Linked DNA regions of Caenorhabditis elegans. The protein of the gene in region 1 interacts with the protein of each later gene in a pairwise test. Each region holds a gene or a part of one and is shown on either strand. Other genes may lie near its edges.

Region 1 (2,924 bases):
TCTTTTAGTCTCCTCGGCTTGTTCAAACTCCTTCAGCTTTTCCTGAAATTTTTTAAATTTATTTTCCGCGAAAAAATTCGTCTACATATTGCCAGTTTTTTCCAGTCAAATATACCTGCTCTTTGAGCCATGACACGTAAAAAGGCGTGGGAGGGTGAAAAAACCTGAACCATTTTTTTGGGGGGAATACCTGTACGTCAGCTTGTGTGCTTGAGAGATTTCAGCGTTTTTCAGAGCCCATTTTCTAATAGTAAAAGCATATATAAATATGATATATACGTGTGCATATTTACCTTAAGCTGTTGAATCATAGTCCGGATTTTTTGGAAACCTGTGTGCATTTTTCCAGTCAAATGTTCTTCGATACGCTGTTGAGCGTCATTCACGATGAGCATGCTCCCACACACTTCACAAACCTGTAATTGTATTTTTCTTGGATAAAAATCAGTCTAAATCTTCTAGATTTTTAGATTTACCTCCATTGGCTTAATTGCCATTTCGTCAAGCATCGGTGGCATGGCTTGTGGGTTCGGTTCGTTCATTTGTGAAAGTTTCTCTTCAAGACCTCGTTTTTCAGCTTCAACCATCTCGCTTCTCGCGACTATTTCCTGGCATTTTGTCACATTTCCCTCACTGCCGGCTTGCTCTGCGTCTCGTATCATATTTTTCAGGACATCATCTATCGAATTGATCTCCAATTGTACCTGACGCTTCTCTTCCTCTAACTTTCGCTGAAAAATTGCGTGTTTTCGACATTTTTTTTCAGATTCAAAGAGTTTACCTTTCCACTATCATCCATTCCGGACAATTTGTCTTTGTTCTTTCGAATTCTTCGCTGATTATCTTCATCTAATTGAACGAGAAACCGCATAAGACGTCTTTCAAAGCCAAGTTGTCCATATTCTGGAGATTCTGGATACAATCTTCGAAGATTATCGTCATGTACTAGCTGGCACGCTCCCAAATCTGCCTTTGTATTGATGAACATGTCGTGAGGACAGAAACCGACCAGGAAGTACGGGCATATGTCAGGATCCTGTAATAATCTATCAATAGTTCCAGGGGAAAAAATTTAAGTTACATCAAATGTGACTTTTGTGTCTTTTCCTAGTTCAACATTCCGTTTGGGACCCATTAGCTCGTCGAGCATTGCTGCCATAGCGTTGCGAGCCGACATGACTGTAAAATTTATTTTTTGTTGAAAGTTTGAGAGAAAAATCGGTTGAAATAACAGAAAAAAACATCGTTTCGCCGGAAAAAAAACAAAAGTTTGTTTGCAAAAACACTAGTGTATATTTACGGTAAACAAAGTGCGCATGCGTAATTTCGGAGTGTCGTTGTTGTGCATTTTCCTTTGAGAAAACGCGTTAAGATCACTATTTTATCGACTTTTTTATTATTATTATGAAATATATTCAATAGAATTTTCTATTTCGAATCATTTTTCAGTAAAAATGTTGAGAAAATTCAGTAAACAATACCAAAAAAGAATTCGATGAATAAACAAGGCGCGTGGAATTCCCTGTGGAATTTCGGAGTGTCGTTGGCTAAAATCTTTCGAATTATAAAATTTAATTTGCTTTCGAGACTCTTTTTGCCTCTTATTATTACGTTTTTTCTTCAAATTTTCAATTTCAGATTCACAATGGCAATGGCAAATCGTCAAAACCGTGGCGCAAAGCTGCCGCCAGAGGTCAATCGTATTCTTTATATTAAAAATTTGCCGTATAAAATCACGACGGAAGAGATGTACGAGATTTTTGGAAAATTCGGAGCAGTTCGGCAAATTCGAGTGTAAGTTCAAGCACAATTATGGTTTTGCCTGTTCTTGAAGAAGCCCGACCAGTATTGATTTTTCAGCGGAAACACTGCAGAAACTCGCGGAACTGCATTCGTCGTCTACGAGGACATATTCGATGCGAAAACCGCCTGCGAACATCTGTCTGGCTATAACGTTTCGAATCGGTATCTTGTGGTGCTCTATTATCAAGCGACAAAAGCGTGGAAGAGAATGGACACGGAAAAGGCTCGTACCAAGCTTGAAGATATCAAAGAAAGATATGGAATTGGTGGAGACATCGACAAGGAAAAGGAGAAGTTGGGATTGTTCACTCCAAGAAGAATTTAAATATCGTGTTTCTTTAAACCTTATTTTATCATTTCCCTCAACCTTCAATGAATGATAATTTCTCTGTGATTATTTTTCTTTGAACTTTTCATGAAAAAAGTATAAAGAGTAGCTGAGAAGTATTTCTAGAAGCCTTTCCCATGTAGTTTTCACTGCAACTTTTTTCGAACGAGGGGTGAGAAAAAATGCGAAAAATCGGTGTTTGCACACAATACACCGCATTTTACGACATTTTCTACTTGCTTTCTTTTCTTGTGTTTTTCACCGATTTTTCCCGTGTTTTCTTATTAAAACTGATAAATAAATATTTTTTGTTAATGCTAAAATAATTTCCAGATGAAAAAATTGTGAATTCAGCCGGCAAGTAGCGGTGAAAGTGGTCAATGTAATATGATGGATTACGGGAATACAAAACCCAAACTTTTCCCCAAACATGATACATATGATGTTTAGATGCTAAAAGTACCTGATTTTCATAATGAGACCGCTGAAAAAGTTTTGAGATTTTCAAAATTCAACTTTTTTGGTAAAAAAGTCGAGATTTTGGCACAAAATGTTGAATTTTGAAAATCTAAAAACTTTTTTAGCTGTCTCGTTATGAAAATCAGGTACTTTCAGCATCTTAAAAGCATATATATCATGTTTCAGAAAAAGTTTGAGTTTTGTATAGCCGTAATCCATCATATTACATTGCCCACTTTCACTGCTACTTGCCGACTCAATTCACAATTTTTTCACTTGGAAATTGTTTTAGCATCTGCAAAAAAAATATATTTATTTGTTTTGATAAGAAGAA
Region 2 (3,811 bases), on another chromosome or scaffold:
ATTGCCAATTTTAATTTAATTTTTTTCTTCGAATAAACTATTTTAAATTTAAAAAAAAGTGAGTTTGCACATTTTTTGGAACCAGCTTTTGCTGAAAAAAAATGTGTCCCACGATTTTGAACGTCGCTCACTGTATCAATTTTCGAAATTCTTTTCTCTCTACATGAAACAATACTACGTCCATTTCAAGCTCTCAAAATCTAACAGCACAGTTTCAAATTCAAAAACACGAAATGATTGAGAAATAGAGATGCTCTTTTCAGATGGATTACTTTAATTCAATCTCTGCAGCTTTACTTAAACAACGCAGGTAGGAGGCAGATACTGTCGATCAGAGCGGAGCATTGAGCTTCACGTAGCCTGGCTGTCAAATTGTTTCAGTTGTCCATCCATGCACCATGTCTCCTCCGCCGTCGACACAGTAGGGTTTCCAGTCACTTCCAGCTACTTGTTCCAATCCACATCCTGACGTTAATTTCCAATCGATTCAGTTGTACTTCCTGAAATAAACACCAATATGACATTATTTGTAAATGTATTGAGGCAAGCCATCTACAAGCTTATGAGTTTAACAACAAACTTACAAAATAGCTCCCACTTTGGAGTTGTCTTCTTTTTCCTCTGTCTCCTCTATTTATCCTTTGAACGTTTCGTCTTGAGTAGTTTGTCCGGGGGGTTTTTGTGACATATGCCAGTATGAGTATCTGAAAAAAAAGGTTCATACTCTCAATACTCAAAAAGCTGTAAACTTTATGTTTTATAACATTTTAAAACATCAGATTTACACCTCTGACCCGCACTCACTTTAATATTCCGTTTGGTTGAAGTGAACTGGTTTCCAATTCACACACGACTGTAGGTAAATCGGCTCCATCGTCCGAGGTCCACTCGGAGGTTCCTTGCATACTCATATCTTCGTTCACAGCATCGGAATTGTTGAATTGGCATCATCTTCCCATCCTTCTTGGCAGACCATTTGTTGAAAAGTTGAAGACTGAACACTATGACTAAAACTACTTGCTCATATACCAGTCCTTATCAAGATGTACGTGGTCGTTCAAATAAAAATATTTTTTTAAATTGTTTTCCGTATACCGTATATCCTCTATTAGTAAGACGTGCAAAACTAATTTTCGGACACCTAATTTGATGCAAAACTAATAGAGGGTGCAAAACTAATTTTCAAACAGGTTTTTTCTCATGTTTCCCATTAAGTTATAGCAAATATCATCAATTTCAGTAACACCTTATGAACCAAAATGGACTAATTAATTCCACTAAATTCTTGTATTGAATATAAAACTTGTGAATCTCATTGCCTTTTGAAAATTTGATTTGAAACTTGTTAATTTTTTAATCTAAATATTCCTGATTCTGTCATAAATGGTCGTGTTATTTCGTTCTCTAGACCCCTGTGACATCAATTATTTGAAAATCTAGTTTTGACTATAGTTTTTAATTGCAAAACGACTTTCGAAGCGAAATTTAACAAATTTCATTTTACCCCCAAGGTATACGGTAGACAAGTACGCAAACACCAACAACAATATTGCACACATTACACAGAAGTTGCCGACAGTTTGCTAAATCAATGGGATTTTTTTACAGCAGTTTTTCCTTTCTTCACGATAAATCGTTCTGAAAAAGTAATTAAAATTGTTATTTTAGTGTAAAATTTAAAAATTAAATTATTGTTTTCAAAATGCGCGATTTTAAATATTGCAATCTTCATTACGTAGGATTTTTCCGCACTTGAATTCTCCAAATGTTCTCGAAATTTATTGAAAAGCTTTAGAAGCCATGAAGTTTCTGGAAAGCTCCGAAATGGATGTTTTTTCGCAGACACTCGTTACGGGAGCAATCGATTGTGTTATTGATTTCAAGTGAGTCATTTATCTCAATATTAAGAATAAAACAAATCGTTCAATTTCAGATTAGAAACGTATTCGTCGAAAATGGTTACTAGCGAAAAGAAACAATGGAAATCGAACGATAAATCTGTGATATGGGGTGAACGCCAGCCTCTAGGATCTTACGAGGAAATGGTGATGAGTGCATCGCCCAGTGTTGGTCACAATCATCGGCTTCGCCATTTATCGGAACGCTCGTGCTCAGGAGGATCAGACAACGATTTCGACGTGAATGACTACCTGATAAAAGACTCAATTTCGCGAAAGAAATTGTATGATCTGACTCAAGTTCTGAACTGTTCGTTTCCGGATCACGATTTCAGTAATGCCAACAGTGAAGCGTTTGCTCTCGTCAATTATTCGGTTAGTAGCTTCTTACAGCTAAATAACATTAACGCGCATGATTTTTCAGGACCTGAGCCGTCTCGTTGATATGAAGCTTGAGACAATTGTCAGAGACTATCACGTGAGAAGAGAAGAGCTATGGGGAATTATTGATGAGGCAATTGTGCCCGGTGACTGTCAAATATACAGGTATTCCGTTTGATTTGAGAGGATATTTTATATAATTTCCATATTTTTCAGCTTCAAGTCCCAATTCGAAGACGATCCGTTTACCGAAGACGGTTGCATTTGGGCACTTGCCTTCATTTTCTACAACAAAGGACTCAAACGTTTTGTTCTTCTCACAATTCGTTGCCTATCGAAACAAGCCGACACGTCCATCGAAATTTTCCCCGATTTCAGTGAAGACGAGGCGGAACCACAAGAGAAATAGAGTGCAGATTATTCATGTAGAACGCTTAGAATAGACTAATATTCAAGGCGATATAGTATTAGTCTTGCCGGCCAAGCCTCTTTCCCTCTTGTAGTTCTTCTCTTGTAAATAGATTCCATTTCTCATCAATCCTCAACCTCCTCCTTCACCTCTCGAGTTCGCATTTAATTTGCCACTTCCCACACACCTACCGCTAGATTAAAGGAACAAATACTTCGATTCTCATTCCTTTTCGTGGCTCGTAGATATCAATTTTCACAAAAACCGCATCATAAATACATAAAATTGTTTTTTTTAAGTTAATCAAAATCGATTATTTTTTGGTTTCAACCGTTCTGATATTTTAATCAATTTTTCCTCAAATTTATTTGGTTAAGTTCAGTTTAATTTATTTTCAGTGAAATAATGCCGAGCACATCAATGATCGAAGATCGTTCTGAGATCGAACGTCGGCGATTCGAATATCTCGATCATCCGGCAGATATTCAACTTCACTCTTGGGGATCCACAATGGAAGAAGCCTTCGAAGCATGCCTCGTATCAATGTTCGGCTATATGACGGATTTGGCCAAGGTTGATGAGGTAATTTGAAATTGAATTAGATCGCCTCTTGCGCCTTTTAAGAATTTTTCCACTTTCCTCTGTTTTGTCTAATTTTTCTTACTTCACTTGAAATATGCTTATGAACATATGAAATTGCAATTTAAATCGATATCTTGTAGAAATTTTAGCTTTTGTTCGTGTATTCTCTAGTTTTGAAGCTGCTCCCAGAAAAAAGCTCAATTTTTGCCTTCTTGACTTCATTTTCGAACAAAACCCACAATTTCTACAAGAAACTGATTAAAATAAAATTTTAATTTTGCATTATTTCAGATGTACGAATTCTACTGGAAAGCTTCTGGCGATAGCTTAGATGGTCTCCTATTTCAGTTTCTAGACGAAGCGCTCAACTCATTCCACGCTGAACCATGCTTTGTCGCGAAACGGGTTGAAATATTGCGATTTGATAAGAAAAAGTTTGAGGTATTTGATAAAAAGTTTCTGAAAATTAATCTAAATTCTATTCAGATCGAATTCCGAGGATGGGGAGAATCATTTGATACTTCAAAGCATGAAACAGAGG

What was found.
Region 2: the proteins of sftb-6 (region 1) and mafr-1 interact in a two-hybrid assay, tested with the Caenorhabditis elegans proteins (one large-scale study listed by BioGRID).

The regions. Positions count from the first base shown.
Region 1 is NC_003280.10:96,766-99,689, forward strand, and holds sftb-6 (Splicing factor 3B subunit 6-like protein), read left to right. Parts: upstream 1-1,638; 5' UTR 1,639-1,645; coding exon 1,646-1,794; intron 1,795-1,860; coding exon 1,861-2,128; 3' UTR 2,129-2,196; downstream 2,197-2,924. Other genes in the region: luc-7L3 (Luc7-like protein 3), read right to left, coding at 1-42, 294-416, 477-731, 782-1,036, 1,082-1,177.
Region 2 is NC_003279.8:10,621,378-10,625,188, forward strand, and holds mafr-1 (Repressor of RNA polymerase III transcription MAF1), read left to right. Parts: upstream 1-1,795; 5' UTR 1,796-1,800; coding exon 1,801-1,883; intron 1,884-1,933; coding exon 1,934-2,273; intron 2,274-2,322; coding exon 2,323-2,444; intron 2,445-2,495; coding exon 2,496-2,688; 3' UTR 2,689-2,984; downstream 2,985-3,811. Other genes in the region: arch-1 (Protein archease-like), read left to right, coding at 3,094-3,270, 3,562-3,711, 3,757-3,811.